Linked DNA regions of Kluyveromyces lactis. The protein of the gene in region 1 binds, or shares a complex with, the protein of each later gene. Links are inferred from orthologs where the notes say so. Each region holds a gene or a part of one and is shown in the gene's direction. Other genes may lie near its edges. The genes, in order: GPI1, GPI2 and SPT14.

Region 1 (8,696 bases):
ATGGGGTTGTATCATCAGACTGAACAAAAACCACCTTCGGATCTTTAAAAAAAGGATTCGTTTTGTAAAAGTTAAGTGCCTTTAATCTCCATAGAATTCTGTTCCAAAATGACGATTTGACGTTCCTATCGGCAAACTGATGATCCTTATCTTCTGAAAGATCCATATTGAATCCTTCGTAATTCTGAGCAATACTCAGAATAGCAGTACCTCTGAATAAAAATTGCCTGAAGTCCTCAGAATCATCAATTTGCGGTTTACGCAAAAATTTTCTTCTGATACGCTCAAGCAAAGGTACCACGGAAAACTCTCTGATTCTTTCCGGATAAGTGACCTTTAAGTAATGTTTAATTTGCAGCAAACGTTTATCCTCTTCTTCAATATCAAAACTTGCCGCTATTACAGCAACGAATACGTTAAGAACAACAAAATTTGAGAGAATGAACCATAGAATAAGTAGAACTGAACCAAACAATGCCGAAAATAAAGTAGGAGAATCTCTTTGGAGTGCGTAAAGTGAATCTGTCCAATTTTCAGTTGATGCGATTTTAATAAGGGTCAGAAAGGCGTTAGGTAAAGAGTAGAATCCAAATGGAGTGTCTTCCATATCATCGGCATCTAGAGTTCCATCGAAGTATAGCAACACGATTAATGATGCCAAGAACACGAATAGGAAGTAAAAGGCAGATAAATTCCATATAACTATTGCGTTTTTCAATACCTTTTTCCATAAATTTCTCGTCACACTGAACAGTATGACAACTCTATAGAATCTTGAAATTGGGAAGAACAATAGCCATGCAGAAGTCTGTCCCAAAGATATACGCAAGCTATTGAACGAAAGAACAGCGCAAATGATTGAAATAATAAAATCATAAACATAATTAGGCTTCGCTAAAAATTTCCATGGAGTTTTACAGTATAAAATTAGCCGTAATATTGTTTCAACCACAAGAATACAAGAAACGATTTGGTTAACGCTGAATATATCCTGAGCTGATTGATCGGAACTGTGACTCTTCATTGAAGCAAGTGCACAAATACTGGTAAAAATTGCAAGAACAAAAAACCATTCCAATTTTTCGTAAAGCCTAATTCCTCGTTCTGCCCATGCAGGTGATTTTGTTGTGTCTGATTTACTTTTGATTAGATGTGCCAATCTTTTCACATTAAACACAAGGTAATTATCTTGAGTGGAAAATTTATCTATGGTATACTTCTCATGAACAACTTCAAAGGACGAATAAAGGACAGCAATTAAAAGGTTGACCATCCAGACCGTGAGACATAGTATGCTAACAATAAAAAATAAGCAGGCTGCCATATTATCTGTATCCATCGTGAAGTACATTAGATCAGTAAAGGTATTAGCACTCATTATCACGAAAACTAATTCCATAGAATTAACAATATTGTCAAAGCTGATTCTTCCATTGTACGGATTTGCATTCGAAATGCACTTGGAGTTGGCTGGACACAAGAATCCCTTAGCTAATGGTCCTTCACTATTATCCGCAAACACATACTTCATTGGCTCAAGTGTTTCCGCATTTAAATATCCTCCACAAAACTGCATGTCATACTGATAATAATCAGATGGATCATTTGGATTGAACCACACGCACTGCCTCTTCAAAGATCCTTTGAATGTTTGCACACCTAGAATTCCAAAGAAAACCCAGAAATATAGAAGCATAAAACCGACATTTAGAAGTTCTGGTATTCCGTATTTCAAGGCTCTTAAGATAGAAACTAAACCAGAGTCCAAATCCACAAGTTTGAGAATTCTGAATGCCATTAAAGACCTGAATAATCTCAACCCGTGTACATCATCATAATCGTTAATACTTAAGCCATATGCAAGCCAAGCAGAAATCGTCGACAACAATTCAAGTCTTCCCCAACTACTTCTAGTAAATGCTCTAGGTATATCGACGGGAGATTTAACATTTCTAAAGTCTGCAACAGTGACAGAACTTTTGAGAGCCGCTGACTTTTTTTCGTCTATGGTTTCTTGGAATAGTGCTCTGATTGGTATAATGCTGTGAATAAATTTTGAAGAGTAATGAGTCTCCAAGAATCTATAAAATTTCCTTATTCCAGTTACATCCCAAAATGAAACATAGTTCTTTCCTATTGCATTCATTAAATCAGAATCGTTCCAGAATCCAAAAGCAATGACCTTGGCAATGAGTTCAAAAGTGAAGAAGCTGTTGAATATCAAAGTGGCAACGTAAGAAAAAACTGACGATGGAGCACTGAAATCCTTTTCGCCTGATGCTGTGCTGCCGAAAAATACACTATGGGCTAGAAATATAGTATAGAGAGTTAGGACAAGCATAGAGAAAGCTTTGTACCATGTTTTCAGAAGAATTGAGGCACATTTCAATCTCCAACGGTTGTCTGGTGAAATAAACCCTAAGGATTTCCCGTACAATTGAAGATGCCTCTCTATAGTTCTATCTATTCCGGGATCGTCATCTTCTTCATCATTAATAGTATTGTCATACGTATCTGTCGGAGCAGAACCTACGTCGTCATGATTTCGAGTGTGATTTGAATGAATCGAACCAGTCGATGTCTGATAGGATGAATGATAACCGAAAGCATTCACTGAGGGTGTATCAGTTCCAATAGGAATACTTTGAAGTTCATAATCATCAGTAAATAGATCAGAGCTATGATCCCTGGCAACAGGAGCGGTTTCGTGGATGGATGACCTTCTTGATCCACGTGTGCTTCGACTTCTTTCTGAGTGGCCGTCTGATGTAGGTTTCCGTAACCATTGGGAAGTGTCCCCACCTAGAATGTTCTTCACATCGTCTTGTAAATGTTTGAAATCTTGTAAATCATCGTCAGTAATAGATAGCATGTTTGAACCACCACTTATCGAATTAGCATTTAATAAGCTATCAGTTGATGGATCTTGGTTAAATGATCGTAACGATTCTTCTTCTATTATAAGCCCTTTTTTGTCATCGTCGTCATCTGCAGCGGAAAATGTCATAACCGGCGGTTGCAAACGCGATATTCGATCTAAATTCGGTGCATTAGCCTCATCAGATGCAGTATCTGAGTTTATTGGTAGGTCAAGGAAGGATGCACCAACAGAATTCCTTCTGGACCTCGATCGAGAACGAGAACTTCCCCCCTCCATTAAAATAAAATTAATACAACCGTCGAGTAATGAAGAAAGCTACAGGATGAACTTACGTTTATAACCAACGTGATACTCGAACTTGAGGCTATATCAGGAATTCAAGACTGGCGTTGGGCACTCTGTGTTTCTTCTTTTGTAATCATCTCTCGTGATACCAGCTTCAGAATATCATTAAAGTTTAAATATCCATGTCAATAATTAGAAACAAACTAGATCAAAGCTTTCAGCTGAAATAGCAAGCTGTGGAATGAATTACGAAGTACGGTAATCACATACCTTAAAATAGTTATATAGCAGGTGCAGTGAAACTGCAAGGACGTTCATGGATCGACGGACTTATGTATATTGGCCTGCAGGACTCTTACGGCAATGCAAATCGGCCGATGAGCCCTTAGTGGTGATAGTTTTGAAGACCTCAAGTTCAGATCCTTTAGTCATCGCTGTCATAGAGGCGTCAAAGTACAGGCCTGTGGAAAAGCCTTATAGCGAGTTTGGGAGGATTTACTCGGGAAATGTCAACTCAATTGAAACAGCTGAGCAATGGAGAGCTGAATATACAACTATTTGTTTCGATCCACCTAAGGTAAAAATGATGCAATTTTACTCGTTAGAGCCGATATCACTAATATTACAGAACCCATTCGAAGATTTCGGTGTAGAAACAACAGATAATAGCGCTATTCATGATGGTACATCGGTTTTTAACATCAGAAAGAAGTGGGAATCGAGATTGCGGGAGAATATCGATCATCTCAATTTATACTATCAACATCTCGAAGTGTTCTATAAGAGATATGCAATATACAAGAACAAATCAACGTTGAATATTTCGATAACAGATTTGAAATTGCGGATGCGTGCAACTTCTGTTTACAGAGGTATTAGATGTTTAGCTTTTTATGGTGCCGCCTTGATAAGAATTGTTGCAGGATTTGTGTCGTATGTTTTAAATTGGAGGGTATTGCCATTGGTAAAGTTATTCGCAACTGCTCAGCAGATTGACCTTAGATGCCAGCAACTTTGTTATATTCCAGTACAATATCTAAGGATTAATAAAAATGTCAAATTGACTGATCTAGACCTTCGAACAGATGAAAATGGTAGCATAGATGAAAATGATAAGAGTTCGGGTTTCACTAAACGTCGTAAAAGCCACCTTGTGCTACCGAAAGCACTTCCCTGCGAAACCTATCCTGATTATATTCGACTTTACAATACTCTTTGGCTCATCATAAACGATGTTTCGTTTGGTGCCACACTAGGAACTGTGTTATATGAAAACCGTATTACATTGGCCCAAAATATCAGTACAACTTTAAAGTATTTACTTTATGAGCTTCCCATGCAGGTGACGTTGATTTTAGAACAAAACCCACTGGGTATCAAACTTAATGATGAGCTTTCCAGGTTTTTAAGCTCTCTTTTTTTGTTAATCATCGAATTCACTTATACCGGATGGATTCGCTCGTGCATTGAACCAGAAACTATACGACAGGGAATAACAGTAATGTCTCATATCAGTGCTGTCATAGGGTTCACTTTCACTTTGGCCCTGGCTGTTGACTTCCTGTGGATCATGACGCTGCATATCTCATTATTTTACATGATTAGTGTCAAACTTTATCATGTTCATATCTATGTGTTGAAGAGTTTATTCTACCTGTTTTATGGGAAGAAGCAAAATGTGTTACGTAGAAGAGTTGATGATATGTACTTCGAATTAGATCAGCTATTGATGGGAACTTTAATATTCACGGTGTTAATCTTCTTGTTGCCAACGTTATTTTCATTCTATTTGGTATACACAGTGTTCAGATTTGTTGACCTTACAGTGAAAGTGTTGCTTGAACTAAGTTTGGCCCTTATCAACCATTTCCCTTTATTTGCATTGCTTTTACGGATAAAAGATGCTAAAAGGTTACCTGGTGGTATCAAGTTCAAAGTATATGATGATCACTTATTAATATCGAATAATCCAATCAGCTTTTTCATGACCTTTGAACCATTCACAAACGTCATGAAATCCATTCAAAGACAGATGTTCTCGGTTGAGACTTTGAAGATGGTGAGTCAGGGATCAGTTCTTAATGTACGAAGAGATGAACTCTATCGTGTTTTGTACCATAATCTACCGAGACATCCAATTGATATCGATTTACTATGGAAAAAGTTAAAGATGGTAATGGAACAAGATACGATATAAACCCCTCTCACAACCACAATTAATGGCACAGATTGCATAGTTTGAATCTTACTTGAATATTCGTATTTAATAAAAACATAGTTGAAATTCGTTAAATTCTTGGGTCTATTTGAACTGACTGATATAATTTATATACAAGGTATTTTTATATGATGGAAATGTTAATTGCAAGTCCCTTTAAGTGGGATAAAAGGATAGGCTGGGCTCATTTTGATCACTTTCTCTTCTTGGTCTTTTTACCGTCACCAGAGGCCTCTCTCTTCTTAGTTGGAGCACCCTTACCTCTACGCTTTCTTAGTTCAAGCATAGTCAATCTATATTGTTCTTCTTCATCAACGAAGTTCATGCCTGGATATAGTTTCTTCAATTGCTTGAATCTGATAAAATCTGGGTTACCATAATAATTCGCAATAGCAGGTCCTTTAAGCCTCTGTGCTAGGATCTTAGACCCAGTTCTGGCATTTGTTGGATTGAAATTTTGATCAAAAACTTTGGCTGATATCTCAGCAAGCTTCAGTAGCCTAGATTTGGGTACAGACATTTCTCAAAATATGAAAATATGAGTGATAACTGATGGAACAACCCGCAAACTAGTTCGCTGAGAGTTAAAGCACACCTAAGACCTATTTATTGGTACTTTCACTTACTACTTCTGCAGCAGGTTTCTATTTTATGCAAGCTCAGTTTTTTTTCGAATGTTCCAATGTTCAAATTTTCATTATCAGGAAATTATCACCATGATGAGGATAAGAGCGATGAGAGATGCGAGAAGGGTCACATTGCCATACTGGGTACTGAAGCACCATTGAAGGGGAAATATTCAGTTGGCACGTTCAATCAATTAAATAATATTCAATTCTTTGTATAATTATCGGGTACTAGCCTGGATCAATAATGATATTAAAATTATACACGATGTGGAGTTTTAAAAACTAGTAAAAATAGTTAAAAATATGAGCGGATGGTTGAGAGTTGTTGCATGAAGCTATAATAATAACAATGATAGTATGCTAAGCATTGAATCTATATTATAGAATGATGAATTAAACAAAAAAAAAGGTGGAATAACTTCCAGGAATTCAGTTAAAGAATTCTTGAAGTTTAGTTCCATTCTTCTTCTTGAGCTTGACCTTCTTCAGCCCATTCAGCAGCTTCGGTTTGTTCTTCAGTAGCGTCAACGGCTTCTTCAGTTTGTTCACCGGAAGCAACAGCTTCTTCTTCAGCAGTTTGTTGTTCGATTTCTTCTGGGTTTCTGTAGAAGTACAAATCTGGCATGATAGCCCATGGTTGAGTTCTGTCTGGTAGAGCACCTCTCAATCTTAGGACTTCTCTAGCCAACAAGTACCAGATCAAACCGATGGAGTGCTTACCTCTGTTGTTACATGGGATAGCAACATCAACGTATTCGGATGGGGAGTCCAAATCGGTCAAAGCGATGACTGGGATGTTAACGTAAGAAGATTCCTTGATAGCTTGAGCATCGGATCTTGGGTCAGTAACGATAACCAATCTTGGTTCCTTGAAAGATCTGGTGATGTAGTTAGTGAAAGAACCTGGGGTAAATCTACCAGCAATTGGAGTAGCACCGGTGTGAGCAGCGTACTTCAAGACAGCTCTTTGACCATAAGTTCTGGAAGAGATAGCAACAACATCTTCTGGGTTTGGAATGGCAGCAATGATTCTGGCAGCCAAAACAATCTTTTCCCAGGTCTTACCAACGTTGATAACGTTGACACCATCTGGTCTAGCCTTGTAGACGTATGGTTCTTGGTGAACCTGTTAATAATTAAAAAATAACCATGCAAACGTTTCGTTCGCAAAAGTTAAAAATATATTGTTAGTAAAGAGAGAGCTTTTTCCCAACCGCAACATGCGACAGGATACACTTTTCGAAGTGCAGATATTACCATATGATAGAGGAGATGTTCGTGTACTTTTTTATTATTATTTTAGTTCCCTAGAAATGGCAGGCCATTTCAATTGTTGTTCTTTTAACAGATTCAGTTAAAACCATATCCTCTCGTACTTCAGTCTGATATCCTTGTTCGAAGGGAATCAGAATTGAAATAACGAGGGGAAATAGAATGTTTAACGTACGTATATCCTCTATGCTGTTAGGTAAAGAGCAACAAATATAAATATTTGCATATTCTTTCTTGTGAGTGAAGCCATTATCCTTGACATCAGCACTCATTTAGTTAGTAGCACCGTGCCAAATATTCAACATCCATGATTAACCTGCGGAGAGGCCTAACCAATGTTATTGATTTAAAACACGAGCAAAAACAAGGTACAAGCATAAGTACAGAAGTATCATGACAGCTAATCTTGCTGTGATACAATATTCTCTTTTTTGTAACAGTTCTTTCTAATTGATGCATTTCTGGTATTGAACAAACACCACTCCTCTTATCGAATACGTATTATCCAAACCGAAGTTCGTATCCATATTTCGTAAATTTCTCAACATACTTGGACGTTCTTAGCACCCAAGTGGACTCTGGCAGCCAACAACAATTGGGCGTCTTCTGAGGTCAAGTCGAAGGTAGATGGCAAAGACATTGTTTGATATATTCTTGTTCTCTTGGAGCTATCAATTGTGAATCGTAACCTGTCCTATCTAACGTATTATTGTTGATGAGATGAACAAGTATATAATGATGCATGAAATATTAAAGTGAGATATTGTCCAATGTTCCGATCTTCCAATGCATCAAGCAAGTGAAATTTCAGAGGAGCGGTTCGAGTTAGAAAGGACTGAACCTGCCCCATCCCTGCCTAGGAAAACACTCGACTAAGCCTAGCTCCTGCGCGGACTCCGCCCTTGCTGTGCGTCCGTCCAGCCAATCTCCGTTAGCATCCATCTCGTTTAAAAAATCTGGCTCGTGAAAGGGAAAAGACATCGATTTTATACCACGTGCTATTTCCTAATGTGGAAAATATACATTTCATCCAGTGTTAAACTTAATATAACTGGTGTATGGGTGTCTGTGCCACAGTCCTGTGCACGTGATTATATACCATCCTTTTCATCTCATTTCATTTGATATGTTACCCTACCAGAGCTTCCTGTCGGCCGGAATTCAAAATTCCGTTACAGCCGATCCTTGGCACTGCCAGTTATTGTATGCCTAATGGCCATCACTTCGACCAAGACAATGCACAGCCCGAATGCTTGGTTCGTTGATCCGATAAAAATCTGATTAGTGGCTGCTGTCAGTTGCTTGCCGTTTTAGGGCACTATCACACCCTGAAATCTGATACTAAAGTGTATCGAAATATTACGTAAAACAGACATTGCAAAAAGGCATCGCATGCGATACCTTTACGCAG
Region 2 (7,422 bases), about 650 kb from region 1:
TATTTAGTTTGGTTGTACGTAAAGATGTGGAATTCTAAGTTCACTGCATATCTTAGGTGAAAAGGAAATTGCATCGCATTCTCACATTAGATCCATTCTTTAAATTGGTTGATCAAACCGTTGGTGGAACTGTCGTGAGAAGAAATCTTGTTATCAGTGGCCAATTCACTACCAATAACCTTAGCCAAAACCTTACCTAATTCAACACCCCATTGGTCAAATGAGTTGATGTTCCAGATAGCACCTTCGGTGAATGTAACGTGTTCGTAGTAAGCAATCAAAGCACCAAGGGTAGCTGGAGTAATCTTTTGAGCCAAGATGGAAGTGGTTGGTCTGTTACCAGAGAAGACCTTGTGAGGTACTAGACCACCAGTGGCACCTTCTGATTTGACCTGTTCTTCATCTTTACCGACCATCAATGCCTCAGCTTGAGCGAAGAAGTTAGATGCTAGCATTTTTTGATGTAGGTTGTTTTCAATTGGGTTATGAGATTGGGCTGCCAAGATGAAATCAGATGGAATCAATTTGGTACCTTGGTGAATCAATTGGAAGAAAGAATGTTGAGCATTGGTAGCTGGTTCACCGAACAAGATAGAACCAGTAGAGTAGTTTGCAAAAACATTACCTCTGGTGACGGACTTACCGTTGGATTCCATAGACAATTGTTGCAAATAAGCTGGGAATCTGTGCAAGTATTGATCGAATGGCGCAACCAAATGTGTTTGAGCATCGAAGAAGTTGTTGTACCAAACAGATAATAGACCACCCAACAATGGAATGTTGTCTTCCAATGGAGTTTCAACGAAATGCTTGTCTACTGCCTCAGCACCCTTCAAGAATGCTTCAAAGTTGTCGAAACCGATGTATAGAGCAACTGACAAACCAATAGCGGACCAAACAGAGTAACGACCACCGACCCAGTTTTCAAAACCGAACATGTTCTTTGTGTCGATACCGAACTTTTCAACTTCAGTAGCGTTAGTGGACAAAGCAGCAAAATGCTTGGAGATATGGGATTGGTCACCACCGTTCTTAGATAAGAACCAGTTCTTAGCACTAGTTGCGTTAGTGATAGTCTCAGCAGTGGTGAAAGTCTTGGATGCGATCAAGAACAAAGTGGTTTCATGGTCCAAATCCTTCAAAGTTTCAGCAATATGAGTACCGTCAATGTTAGAAACAAAGTGTACCTTCAAGTTGGTAGCATAATGTTTCAATGCTTCAGTCACCATAACTGGACCCAAATCTGAACCACCGATACCAATGTTGACAACATCGGTAATAGACTTACCGGTGTAACCCTTCCAAGCACCAGATCTGACTTCTTCGGTGAACTCCTTCATGTGTTGCAACACAGCGTCAACCTCTGGAGTGACGTTGGTACCATCAACGTACATTGGCTTCAAACTTCTGTTTCTCAAGGCAACGTGGTACACAGCACGTCCTTCAGTGAAGTTGATTGGTTCACCGTTGAACATGGCATCTCTCAATGAGGTGACCTTAGCTTCCTTAGCCAATTGGATCAAAGACTTCAAGATTTCATCGTCAACTAAGTTCTTGGAAAAATCAAACAAGATCTTTGAACCATCGTAATTGACAAACGTCTTGGCAAACTTTTCATAACGAGAATTGTCCTTAGCAAACTCGTCCTTAACATTTAGCTTTTTACCCTTTTGTTCGTACAAAGATTGCAATTGGTTCCAGGCTGGCAATTCAGTTGCCAACTTGAAGTCAGAGTAAGTGTTCTTAGAAGCCATTTCTGATATTTGTCTTTTTATTTCTGTTTTAGAATCTATCTTAACAGAACTTTAAAACCTTTTATTGTACTTTACGGTCAGTTAAAAGGTCACTTCAGAATTCAGCGATTAAACCCTAATCACAAATTCCTTTCTACGTGACTCAAGAATACAATCGAAATACCAATTGGAAGAAGCAATTGATCAAGAACCTTCACCAGAGAATATATATATATAAAGAATCCACGATTTAAGTTAACCATTTCCCTCAAATTCGCAGGTGATGGAAAATACCAAATCCTTTTTTTTCTCAACGTTCCTATTATTTTCCATACTACGTTCAATCATCAATTCGTATATCCCATCGTTATTCGGAACAACTTGTAATTTCTGTCAGCTTCCGCTTTTTTTATTTGTTTCGCACCATCCAGTAAACAAATAGTGAAAGGCACGTAGAAGAAACCGGTGGTCCTTGGAAACCTTAGCTTCCACTAATACTCAACAAAAAGTCAGGGTAATTGTGGCACGTGATTCATCACGTGATTTGAAGTATTTATTCAGTTATATCTCTCAATGGTATCTACGATATCATTGATGTGTTTCTGTTGTTCTTCAAGATTTCCTGGGGTCTCTGTTGATTGTCTCTTCATGTGCTGCATCAAGTTCGCATGCATCTGGCGTAAGCGGGTAATATCCTCTTCGAAATTATCCGGGAAAGTAAGGCCAGTATTGCCCTCTCTGGCCATTCTTTTCACATCATCTAGTGTATCTATATCTGTCCATATCCTATCCTTGTCATCCACTTTTGGTGTAGCATGTACGTCGTCTGGAACGGTATCCTTGGGTAAAGTTCTCGGTATGGCTTTAGAATCCGTAGGTCTTCGTTCATTGTTTGAAGATTGCCTGGTTACCTGATCAAACGAATTTGATGTCTCCCTGCTAGATTGATCCATTGGGTATATGTAGCAATGAGTTGAGCAGTAAGTTAGGCTATATCCTTTGTATCTTACTTGTGCGGGTGCTCCCGCTGGCTGTGCTGTGATATTAAGTTGTAATGGATTAGCTTTTTTACGTATCAATCTCTAATTTTAATGATTCGAAAAAGCTAGCGACGACTGTTGAACTGAAGTAACTTCCTGCACTCGCAGAGATTTATCGCGAGTATAGCGGCAAATCTCCAGGTTTCTTTTGTCCAGACTGTAGTGACTATATTGTGCTAGTCGTTTCCCGAATAACAAATTGTCTTCTCTTATAGTTGTTAATGGCTGCGGGGAAACAATGGAAACGGTTATTGTGGTTGAAACAGCCGTTCCCAGATACCTACACTGATCCAAGTTTCTACAAACAATGGGAGAAGTTGAAAATTGAACATGGGCATTTGAGGCCTCACTCCTCGTACAGGTCTGTTTTACTTGATCTCTTCCAGTTTTACCACATGATTATTAATACTATGTTACTCTATATTATATTTGCCTGGTTCTATCATTACAAATACAATCCGATTTTAATTGCTGCCTCAATTTCATCTGTTTCCTTAATAGTTGCCAACAAGAGGGTACCCTGGAAATCCACTATCATCATTATATTTGCAATGTTGACCTTATCTCCAGTGCTTAAATCTTTGTCCAAGACAACTTCGTCCGATTCCATCTGGACTCTATCTGCATGGTTCACAACCTTTTACATCATATCGATCTCCGCTCTTGAATCTAAAATCCTACCGACCAATATTCTACTCTCAAATGTGACCGTACTTTCTTCAAGATTAGATACCTCCACCCAAGTTTTCTGTTTCCTTTTGATATGTATCCAAATTAACATTCTACTGCCGACGATGGAAAAGTATTTCATAAAGAATAAGTTGAAATTCCTGCATATACTATGTGTTATTGCGACACATGGTACAGTCTACTATTTTATAACGAAGTTAATGGGTGTCGGGATCACGATACCTTTGGGAATATCATCTTTGTTACTATTATTTGGAATCCCTCATTACTATATCCACTGGGAAAGCTACTATTATAAAGGACATCCGATTTTACAGCAGTGGGACGCTGAAAAACCAATATTAGATTAGTTATTAGGATTCTGTTAACATTTACATTTCATTGACTGCATTGATATCAATGCACATAAAATATACGTACTCATTGTAAATAATATAAAGATAAAGCGCATTCTCTTTTTTTTTATTTATTACAATTGGACAACTACTAGATATGTCGAATAAACGACCCTTATCTGGCTGAGTAAAGTAATCGCATTTACTCAATAAATGCACCACCAGCCAAAACTAGGTTCGTTCTTGTGAATTTTACTTTGTGAATTGCTGTTTTCTTTGTATGGAACGAAGCCATCAAATCCTGAGTTGGTATTACTGCCCGCCTACGTCCGAATTCTTTGATATCGTTATTTACACTGAGTTCCATATCTCCTGAATACGTGTTGAATTGTTGTTCCGGCTCCATTCCAGGCTCGTTTGTAAACCTCTTTATATCCCAAACTCTAACACTTTGATCCGCACCACCTGTTACTAGACAGTTACCTTCTTTGTTAAAAGTTATGGAATAGATAGGATTCTTACCGTGACCCTTCATCTGTTTGATTCTTTTACCAGTACCAATATCCCATACGATAATTGTGCCATCCTCACTGCCCGTAGTTAACCACCTACCGTCAGGCGATACTTCAAGTGCGGTGACTGGTGATGTATGTCCCAAAAACAGTCTAACAGAATCACCTGTTTGAATATCCCACATACGGCACGTTTTGTCGCTGGAACCAGTGAAAACATAGCAACCATTTGGATGGAAAGTGCTACAATCCACGTCATTTAGATGACCTGAGAAAATTCTCAACGGATAGATATGATCACAAGACCATAGTCTAGCCGTTTGATCATGTGAAGCGGTGATGAAATAATGGCCAAGTGGAGAAAACTTGACGTACCATACTGGATGGTTATGGCCTTTGTAACACACTAGGCAAGTGAACGTATCTAAAGACCAAAGTCTGACAGTTTTATCTTCAGATGCGCTAAGTAAGTACCTGTTATCCGGGCTGAATGCAACGGAATAAACTGGTCCGCTGTGTCCTACCAAAGTAGCAGAGTTCGATTGGTCTTTAGCTTTGGATGGGAGGATCGACTGTAGCGGTGATCCATCAAGGTACCATACCTTAATTGTACTGTCTTGGAAACCAGCTGCAGTTAGTCTAGCATCATCACTAAATTCTACGCAAGTCATATTACCATTAGTGTTGTGGAAAGTGTACATACACACACTTGGTGCAGAAGTTTGTAGGTTTTTCAATTGGATGGAATCTCTACTCTCCCTTACTTTTTGAATTTCCATCTTTAGATCTAAAGTTGTTTTTACCGGTAGCGGCAACGAATCCTTTGCTGGTGATTCCATCATAGATCCAATTGAAGCCTCTGGTTTTTCTTCCTCGTCTTTATTCTTTGAGTCTCTTTTCTTTCTTTCAGCAGCCGATGATTCGACACTAAGTGTAGGAGTGCCTTTCTCTTCTGTATCTGCTGTTGCATCGACTTCTTCTCCACCCTCTTCAGCTTCAGGTTCCTTATTTTCATTTTCTTCCTTAACGGTGTTATCATCAGCTTTTTCAGTGCCCTCTGGTTTGTTCTGATTACCGTTCATTTCTCTATATTCCTCAACTAATGTCTTACCGACAGGTTTATCCTTATTCTCAGCTGCCTCTTGTTCATCTTTTTTCTGCAACTCAATCTCTACTTCCTTGGTGAACTCTTCGTCCTTTGGATACGGTCCTAACTTCACAGGTACCGAGTTATACGTATCAACATCAATATCACCGGTTGAGATATCTTTGATCCCGTCGGTGAGAATATCCTCAGATTTGACAACATCTACGATATTTGGATCCAAGTTTTGGTTTATGATGGAAATCAACAAAGATCCTCCCACACTTTCGTTTTCGTTCAAGAAATACAACAAAAGGTTCAAAGTAGTTCTTGAGATTGTGATCTTATATTTATTGGTTTGGAAACCTTGAGCCAACTCATTTTCCTTGATGTGATCTACTGAGTTGACACTGAATAATCGGTTAATTTCTGATCCATGAAGGGCTTTGTAATCGACAGAATACTTGTCAAAGAATCTTCTCGCTTGTAAGGGGTCCTTGATGACCAACTGTAAAAAAACGTAAATGAAAATCGGGTATATGATACGTGATAGCTCAGGTTTGTACAATTCTAAAGACGAATCGATCCAATTTTTCAACATTGAGTAAGCTCTAAAATAGTGCAAGGGTGTCACCTGTTGCGGTTTTATCAATTGGCCGTTGTTATCTCTTTTCAAGGGCATCGAAGGATTTGAAACAGGTTTTGCAGTGGTAGTACTTCCTGTAATCGCAGTGGCTGATGCAGACGAGGCAGGGATTGTGTTAGAAGCAGCAGCGTTTTTATTTGGAGGCGTCAAAGTACGTGACGATTCAGCACGAAGCATCTGTTCCGTTCTGTGATACCCCTTCTTATTCAAATATTCCAAAACGATGCGGTTCAAATCTGACGCTGAAAACCCCGGTTTAGAAGCTGCCGGTGCATTCCCACTGGCACCGCTACCGCCAGCATTGGCATTAGCGCTAGCATTTCCGGCCGCACTACTATTTCCATTGCCACTACTTCCGCCTGCACCGGGAGCCGTGGCTCCTGACGCTCCCCCAGCTGCATCGCCTGCCTTGTTTCCCTGTTGTTTGCCGTTCGAAGACATATTAAGCAAGCCGGAAACTGTGCTAAGAGGTTCTTCTCTTTCACGCTTTTTTTTTTTAAAAGGCTAAGCAAGTATACCTAGTTCCTTATTCAGCTTACTCCTAAGCTCAAGTACTGGTATAGTTCAAGCTTGCTAAGGCAATGATTTAGCAATCATTTGCTGTTTATTTGTTTACTTATTCATTCACATTTTTCAGTTTTATTTTTTTCCATATTCAACTTTCAACCTGGAAACTACTCTCAGACACAAAGTAACTGGCATTTAGAGATCTGAATTAAAGGTCACGTTTTACGGATTCAAGAATTATCTTTTCAGTACATCTCCGGGTAACAGGTTGAACAGCCCCGGAGTCCACAGCACGTTTTTAGACTTCGATTCGAACTTTATTTTAATTTTTACTCGCAGAACGCAGTTAAGCTACATATCTAGAGAACCCAGTATAAAATATATGTGTACAGAGAAACAGTGGGGAGAGGCTTTAAAGGGTCGGGAATTTTGCAGTGGCCTTGGGTGGGTAAATGAAGATCCCTATTTCACGATGCCAAAGCCATACCCCCCACAAATGACTTCCTTTTCGTTTTTCCATCCAGGGGTAGGAGTCCAGTAATTGGATCTGGATTCGTGTTTTTCAACTTCCAAAGAAGGGATGCTTATTTTGCGGGATGCCAGTTACCAATGTACATACTACGGGGGTACCTTCATTTGACGTGGCAATTGGAGGTAATGCGTGCCGCGTCTGTAATATAACAGAAATTATAAGTCACGTTGCCCTTATTTTACTATTTCGTTACCCGGTTCATGTAAAAATAATCCCATTGGGGTTCCACTAATGTCAGGAGACGAAGTTGAACAGCAATGAAACGGTGAAGTTGGGAAAAAAAACAAGAATTCAAGCACGAAAGTTGGAAAATTAAAGGAATTCGCCTTCTTCTCAGTTCTGA
Region 3 (8,263 bases), on another chromosome or scaffold:
CTACAGTTTTGCTGAAAACTCACTATTCCAAGGCAATATAACTACATTAAATGAGATCGATACCAGAACCTCGCCAATCAAAATATAATCGATTTAGAAGGTTATTTAATAAGGTGCATAATTGTGTCACTTTGAAAAGATTGAAAAGGCGATGGAACCTACACAAGTTGAAGAAGAGCTCAAGGAATACAAATCAGAGATCTGCAATCCCAATAGACCGTATTGCTAATCTTCCTACTGGTATGTCGCATAAATCGAGTAACATGAAACCATTGCTTCTAGTATCGTTTAATAAAGGTCAGGAGAATTCGCCAAAGGTGAGAATTCTAGAAACCAATGGACATTTGAGATCTTGGATCAGCGGTAGAAAATTCTCAATGAAACGAATAGTGAATAACGCATCTGTAGAGAGAGATCCTTATCAAAATTCGAGGCACACAGTTAGGCAAGAAGTAGCAAAACACGCAGATTTAAAGGTCAATTATTCTGAACAAGGAATCGTGAAAACTGTCGACATACCGTGCTGTTACACAGAAGATCCGAAGTTGATTAATATAGGACAAGAGCACACTTTTAGAATACGTGACTATCCTTCTTTGAATCCTAGTCAGCGAACGACGAGAAATGGTTTCAGGAGTAGAAATCAGCCTGAACCTGTTTCGCGCTTCTTCTTTGAGGAAGTTGCAGAGACCATGTCCTAATCCATCATATACAGACATATAAATTATCTGGACTTGTAGTACACTAGAAAACAGAAGCATAAATAAATACAAAAATAGTCCTTAATCTCACCAAGGCCTGAACAAATATTCTAATTGTTTACACCGGGTTCAGCTTCCAAACTTCCTATGCATGGGTACTTCTTTTGGAAATGCGCAGCCCATCCTTCTAGAGCTCCCCGCTCTTGCTCGTTTAAGTCCTGGAGAGTATCTATAGGTTGGTCCCAGTGTCTTACTGTATCCAAATCAAATGAGTTTGTAGCAAGTCCTCTGGATGCATCATGTCCAGCAAAATTAGAGTATGGTCCGCTAGGCCCGTAAAATTGTCTTCCTTGGCTGCAGTCGTACACTTTCCCCAAAACTGCGATAAAGATCTTTTCATCGTCATGTCCATTGAATTTGGATAGCGTTCTGGGATAAAACTTTCCTTCCACAATTGGGTCATTTGACTTAGAGCTAGCACCTTCGTTGCCGCTACCACTTTGCGTTAAACCCGTTGGGTCAGCTGTGGTCTTCACAGCACCTGTCAAAAAGTTCTTAATAAAAGACATTTGCTTTAAGATTGAGACTTGATTATCGAAACTCTATGTTCAGACTTAGTTACAACAAAATCAACCAAATCGTAATTGAGAGTCTAATGGTATATAGATAATATTTCCCTCTGGGTCCTTTATATAGAAGATCCAACATTTTTGTATTCCTTTATTCTGAGTTGATCTTTGCAGCGAAATTACGGCCAAACCTTTTTTTTTTCATCAAGAAACTGTTGTATTCGGGTACGTTGACAACTTATGGAAGCCATACGAAACAGTTCAATCAGAGAAAACAAAATTCAGACCGATAAAAATACCGGCAGGAAATTGGTTGACAAATCTATGCACTTTAAAGTGTATCAATTGATACTTGATTACCATTTGGTAAACAGTAGCTTGTCATTTATGAAGACCTTCTCAAATGGGACTCCCATTCATAGTAAAAGTATGAATTCTTTGAAGAGTATATATGTATTGTTTTATAAAGGAAGCAGAAAACATATTTCTGCGGGGAAAACGTTATGCTGATTGGGATTGATATTGTGAACAAAAAAGTTTAAAATGAATTAGCCGTTTCGTCAATAAATGACTGAGCTGAAGATATTAGCAGATTTCCTGCAATGTTGATTTGTTTTTGAGCTTCTTTTAAATTCCCCGAAGTCAATGCATCTCTCACACCAGGGAATGACCATGAATCATAGCCATTAGTTTGGGTCCAGAGCGTTGGTCCAAAGAGAACATTCTTGTAGAATTCTCTATCGGGAATACCACTTGAAAGAGATTGTCTCTTCATAATATTCATTATTTTTTTATTCCAAGTCCATCTGTGAACCGAAACTAACGACGGTTCCACGCCTTCGTCTTCCATCATGACGATATTATTCCACGTGTGTACCCATGCGTTCCATTCGTCACTGATTTTTTTCCATGCTTTCAAACCTTGCTGAATGGAAGCGTAGTCAAAGTTATTGCCACCTTGTTTCTGTAAATCCTGGAATAAAATATCTAGATTTGAAACGTAATCACGGACATTAAAGGGTAGTAAAGGTTCGTCGATAAGTCTTAACAACATTTCATAGGTGTAAATGAGGGTATCTGCGACTTGTTCCCATGCACCTTCAGTTCCCTTAATTTCTTCAGACCAATGTTGAAAATCATCAGAACAAGTTGAAATTGGAGGAGTTTGGTTTAAGACAAATGGGGAGCTTAACACAGCAGTGGGGATGCCGTTCGCCAAGTATGCAGTCCAATCACCGTATTGTGCAATGTTTCTAACGGTTACATCAAACTGTTTAGTATTCTTGAAAAGACTCTGTAATAGTGGTGTTGCCTGGACATCAAGCGCACGACGGGCTTTCGGATCGACACTTAATTGAGAAATATCAATAAATGCATAAACTTCACTTTTTAATTGATTCATTTCGGTTTCCATCAATTCGGTGGCACCTACGTGATTATATTGCGCGCCATCATATGAAATGAAGTAGATATTTCTTAGTGGCCTCCAATCGTACTTATATTTGGTTTGTTGGAATAACTGTAATAGAGCCATCAAAGAAGACGTACCGAAATTTGGATAAAGGGTTCCCTTGCAAGTTGAATCATGACTAGCAGCGATTATGATGGCCTTATCCTTTTGTTCTTTACCCTCTATTTTACCCAACACGTTCCAGCTAGGTTGTAGTGTCTTTTCAGCGTTGGCTAGCCTTAGGTTGCATTTGACATCATCTTTTCTGCCACTAAACCAGGAGTCCTCGAATTTGATACTGGGAGAACCATCATTTAGAATTGATTTAAGTTTCAGACCCTGGTTATACGAGATAGGTATGGTTGGGATGTGCGGTACTAACTGTGACTTTTCCAATCCGATTTTCTTTGGCGAAAGAGTGCTCCAACCAGGAGACAAAGCATCACCAGTACCGTACTGAGGAATCGCTACTGAGAGTTTCTGTATGACATCACCATCATTTCCAAAGGGCTTTGATATAAAAATAATACCTTTGATACCATGTTTTTCAGCGACAAGTATCTGCTCACTAGGTAAGTTTCCATATTTCATAACGAGAACAGTATTGTCGGAAAGTAACCCGTTTTCTTTCAATGATTGGATATCAGCGACAGTCCCATAATTTGCATATATTATATCGGCATTCTGAATGTTCCCGTTACTGCTTAATGGGTTAAAATTTTCCTTTGATAAAGCAAATTCATGCACTTTATTGTCCGAAGTAGTAACGCTAAACTCAACCTCGTTTGGGAAATTCATATATCCTTGGAACGGAACCTCCTTCATTAATTTTAATCCATTATTTTTGAACGATTCTCTGATATAGTTCGTAATAGCATAATCACCTTTAGTACCAGCTAAATGAGGCATGCTGCTTAAGTATTCCATATCTTCCTCTAACTTCGCATAGTCGATGGAACGTCTCGCGTAATAGATTAATTGGTTTTTATCCGAGAACATTCCGATAGTGGCGGTGCTCTTGCTATTGGGCATCAATCCGCTCATAACCACGGTGTACACAATCACTGACATGAAAAGTATATACACAAATCTGCGGAGGATTAAAGGATTTCCCAGTTTGCTCAAATATAGATCAACCTTCGCAGAAGCCATTTGATATACCTGTACGAGAGGATCGACAACATTGTTCTTCATTGGAAATATCAAATTATCCTCAATTCTGGTCTTTAACCTTTGAAAACGACCCACTGAACTAATAGTATCTTCCTGTTCTATATCAAGTTCCATTGGAAGTATATCAGGACGCGATTCGATGTCGTATTCAGGAGGATTTGGCGGTAGTAAAGATTCATCCAGGTCAACGACATTTTCCGAAGACACATCTGGAAGACTGACATCCTCATCTTGACTGACGCCTTGGTACCGCCCTTGTGCACGAGGCATTTTTCAGGCTTTAACGAAATGCTCTATTCGCTGGCTTAACGTGGACCAACTAAATATGCTTGAAATCTCACTGCTTACTCGATAACCCCTCAAGATAATATTCGGAAGTGTATTGGAAAAGGTTACGTTTCCAAATTTCGAGGTTATTTTAAACCTTCTGTACAAAATACTCATCGAGACAACCAAAGATCGAAAAACAGTCAACAGAAAGTGGTAAAGAGTGAGGAGTGAAAGTACAGATTAAGTAACGCTAAAGTAAAGCATATTGAGAGATTTAAAACTTCAGTGCAATTATACAAATATTCTTTGTATAGTCTAACAAAAGTTGTAGCTCCAAAACGGGTTAATCTGAACGATAAATTGTTTCGATATATTAAACACTTAATTCATATCAAACACATCAATGTCTAAAGAATGGCTGAACAAAAATACAACATAGCTATGGTTTGCGATTTCTTCTACCCGCAGCTTGGGGGTGTTGAGTTCCATATATACCATTTATCTCAAAAGCTAATCAAAATGGGGCACAATGTTTGTGTTATAACTCATGCCTACGGAGATCGAACAGGAATACGATATCTATCAAACGGTTTGAAAGTTTACTATGTTCCATACTTGGTACTCTATAGACAGACCACTTTTCCAACAGTATTTGGAAGCTTTCCTATATTCAGAAATATTTTGATTAGAGAACAGATTGATGTATTACATTCGCATGGAAGTGTTTCCAGTTTTGCGCACGAAGGAATACTACACGCGAATACAATGGGGATACAGACTGTGTTTACAGACCATTCTTTATATGGATTTGATAGTCTCGGTTCAATTCTTGTCAATAAGCTACTAAAATTCACTTTATGCAACATCGATGCTGTCATTGCTGTCTCTCATACTTGTAAAGAGAATATAATACTCCGAGCAAATCTTGATCCAGATAATGTGTCAGTCATACCGAATGCGGTTGTTTCCAGCAGTTTCAAGCCTAGAGATTCAACAATAAAGAAAAAATCTAACAGAATAACAGTAGTGGTGATTTGCAGGTTGTATACCAATAAGGGAGCTGACCTTTTGACACACTTAATTCCAAAGGTTTGTACGAATAACGATAACGTCGATTTCATTGTTGCTGGAGATGGGCCAAAGTTCATTGCATTCCAACAAATGATAGAAAATAATAGGCTTCAGGAACGCGTTCAACTTTTAGGATCTGTGCGACACGAACATGTTAGAGATGTCATGTGCCAAGGGGATATATACCTGCATGCAAGTTTAACTGAAGCATTTGGAACAGTTTTGGTTGAAGCTGCGTCGTGCGGGTTACTAATAGTAACAACATCTGTCGGTGGTATACCGGAGGTCCTTCCTGAATATATGACCGTATATGCCCAGGAAACCTCGGTATCTAGTTTGATAAAGGCGATGAACAAAGCGATACATCGCATAGGACATAGCAAAGTTAATACAACACAATTTCATGAAACTATCGCACAAATGTATGACTGGATGAATGTGGCTGAAAGAACCGTCCAGGTTTATGACAGGATATCTTTAGATGTACGCTCCTTAAACAAGAATTGGGTCGTTATGCTAAAAAAGTATTATAGACAAGATGGAAATTGGGCCAGATTATTGTATGTTCTTTGCGCTATAGTGGAATATATTTTACTCTATATTTTAGAAATTCTATATCCAGCAGGTGATATTGATAGGGTTGTTAAATGGAATTCCCGCATTTGTAGAGACCCTCATATATAATGATTAATGATTAATAATTAATACTCACCTTTGAGCATTTCGTATGTATATGTCACACATAATTCATGAGTTTCTTTCAATTTTGCGAGCCTGTGCTTCCTAATGGAGGTAAACTCATTAGAGATGATAGGGTCTGCTAACTCAATGCACGTCGATAAGATATTTGCCATATTGTTGAAATCATTGAACATGTTTCTACTGGAAAACTGTTTTCGATGAGTATCAAACAATGGTATGGACAATTTGAGGCGAGATTCTTGTTCTTTTCGAAGAATAATCCTCTGTAAATCTGAGATTTCAGCGATCAATGATAATTTATCATTGTTTTCTCTAAGCGATTGGATATTGTTTAATGCCTTTGTATGAAATAAATTATTGGCGTTCTTTATTTCTTGTTCTCTATTGTTGCGATACTGCTGGTACTCCGCCTCCATGTTCACCAATTCATCCTGAAGGCTAGAGTTTCTTGATTTCACTTCTAATAGCTCATTTTTCAAGCTGGATAAGGAACCTTCCATTTCCTTATTCCTGGCATATTTCGACTCAAGAACTTCAATTTTGAGGATTAAGTCCTGGATGATTTGATCTTTTTCAGATATCGTCTGTTGGAGAACTTCAACCTGAGCTTGGGATTGTATCACATTCTTTTCAACTGAAGTGTTTCTTTCCTTGTTTTCCAACATGTCGACAGGAATTTGTTTAATTTCCTCTAAACACACTGACAACTCATTTGGTTTTTCCTGTAGGGATAGGACTGACGTTGCAAAGTGAACATAAATCGAGAATAAATTCACATCAGACTTTAAGGTTCCATTAAATTCATAAAGCTCTTCCAATTTCGTGGTGACGAAGGTGTTAATCGTATGGAAAGTGTTATACAGGCTTCTTATTCGCTGCTGATCAGATTCCTTTGACAAGTGTTCAGTATCGGACAAAAGTCTTTCCACCGACGCTTCAAGAAACATTTGAATAGCCGTAAATAGAACCCTAGGATCCGATAAAGTGATGTCTGCATTTTCTAATAGAGATAATTGAACCTTGATTGGATGACTATTTTTTACTGATTCCAATAATAAGTCCAAATTGATCTTTTCTTTCAAATATGTCACACCAGCATCATATTTAATCATCGCATAATATATGAATAAAATTAGTTGAGATGTGCATATACTCACAGCGTCTTGGCTAAGAAGTTGGTCTCTCAGGTATATGATTTTAATTTGAGAAAGTAGCTCCACTTTGTTATCCACTTTCAGATGGCTAAGCTTTGCAGAAGATACCTCGTTCTGGAATTGAAGCTCATTATTCCTTAATTGTAACGAAGTAAGTTCTGCTTGTAATTCTTCAACTTCTGGTGACATTTCTTGAGAATATTGCCCCGATTTATTTTGCAGTGATTGTAATTCATTCTTTAAGGTTTTGTTGTTTTCCTTCAATGCGTTAATTATGCTCTCGTCAGTAGAGAGAGTTTCCTGAAGTTTCGCTATTTGAGAATTTAGCTCCGATTCGACCTCTTTATAAAGTGCTTCTAGTTCTTCATCTGCCAATTGAGTTTGTTTCAACTTGAGTAACTCTGACTTAAGACAATCAAGCTCCGTACTTAATTGATGGTTTTCTGTAGTAAGAGATTCAATGATGTTATTAGAATTACTATTCGCACTGAAGTGCTGTTTCAATTCATCTAATGTTTTTGTTGTTTCAAATAGTTTACTCTCTAAGGCTGATATTGTTCGCAAATATGTCTCTGCCTGGGTTTGCAGTTCTTCATTACTATTTTTCAAACCGTTGCATTGTTTCTGTATTTCTGTTAGGTCTGATTGCAGCTTTTGTAGTGCAACCGTTAATAATCTGTTTTGCTTGATAAGGGCATCTGATTCTACTGATTCTATCTGATCAGTGTTGACATCAACGTCTGCTTTTCTTCTTATTAAAATTTCTTCTTTATAATCATTAAGCTCCTTCAAAGCACTTTCATGAGCAATGGTCAAGCTTTCTAATTCAAATATCAGTGAATCATTGCGTTGCTCTGCCTCATCTCGTCCTAAAGTTAATTTCTCCAATTGTTCCTCGAGAAATTGCACTTTTTCAAGCTCTTTTGATCTCAATCCCAGCTCCTTTTCAAACGAAATACATTTGTCATTAACTGACTTGAGTTTAACTTCCAATCTTCCAATGATCTTTTTCAATCGTTCGGGATCTGATGAGTTAGAATTCGTAGTATCAGGATCCTGAAATTGTTGCGAGTTCGGTGCAGAATTTTTATAGATACCCTCTCTTCTACTGAATATACCATACATCCGACCTTTTCTACCCTCACTGAGTTCAAAGTACCTGACTCCCTTGAC

Evidence for each region.
Region 2: GPI1 (region 1) and GPI2 share a complex: the UniProt entries of both Saccharomyces cerevisiae proteins name them as parts of the phosphatidylinositol N-acetylglucosaminyltransferase (GPI-GlcNAc transferase) complex. The link is inferred for Kluyveromyces lactis from reciprocal best matches to the Saccharomyces cerevisiae genes GPI1 and GPI2.
Region 3: GPI1 (region 1) and SPT14 share a complex: the UniProt entries of both Saccharomyces cerevisiae proteins name them as parts of the phosphatidylinositol N-acetylglucosaminyltransferase (GPI-GlcNAc transferase) complex. The link is inferred for Kluyveromyces lactis from reciprocal best matches to the Saccharomyces cerevisiae genes GPI1 and SPT14.

What each region holds. Positions count from the first base shown.
Region 1 is NC_006041.1:1,435,320-1,444,015, forward strand, and holds GPI1 (phosphatidylinositol N-acetylglucosaminyltransferase), read left to right. Parts: upstream 1-3,482; coding exon 3,483-5,363; downstream 5,364-8,696. Other genes in the region: calcium channel protein CCH1, read right to left, coding at 1-3,157; RSM27 (mitochondrial 37S ribosomal protein mS33), read right to left, coding at 5,578-5,904; KLLA0_E16149g (uncharacterized protein), read left to right, coding at 6,067-6,231; RPS0A (40S ribosomal protein uS2), read right to left, coding at 6,465-7,139, 7,836-7,925. UniProt on the Saccharomyces cerevisiae protein: Part of the complex catalyzing the transfer of N-acetylglucosamine from UDP-N-acetylglucosamine to phosphatidylinositol, the first step of GPI biosynthesis.
Region 2 is NC_006041.1:2,087,575-2,094,996, reverse strand, and holds GPI2 (phosphatidylinositol N-acetylglucosaminyltransferase), read left to right. Parts: upstream 1-2,994; coding exon 2,995-3,813; downstream 3,814-7,422. Other genes in the region: PGI1 (glucose-6-phosphate isomerase), read right to left, coding at 87-1,754; KLLA0_E23497g (DUF5315 domain-containing protein), read right to left, coding at 2,291-2,686; TAF5 (chromatin modification protein), read right to left, coding at 4,001-6,481. UniProt on the Saccharomyces cerevisiae protein: Part of the complex catalyzing the transfer of N-acetylglucosamine from UDP-N-acetylglucosamine to phosphatidylinositol, the first step of GPI biosynthesis.
Region 3 is NC_006039.1:837,767-846,029, reverse strand, and holds SPT14 (phosphatidylinositol N-acetylglucosaminyltransferase SPT14), read left to right. Parts: upstream 1-4,577; coding exon 4,578-5,918; downstream 5,919-8,263. Other genes in the region: OSW1 (Osw1p), read left to right, coding at 51-701; DAP1 (Dap1p), read right to left, coding at 812-1,270; KLLA0_C09735g (uncharacterized protein), read right to left, coding at 1,809-4,163; NIP100 (Nip100p), read right to left, coding at 5,936-8,263. UniProt on the Saccharomyces cerevisiae protein: Catalytic subunit in the complex catalyzing the transfer of N-acetylglucosamine from UDP-N-acetylglucosamine to phosphatidylinositol, the first step of GPI biosynthesis.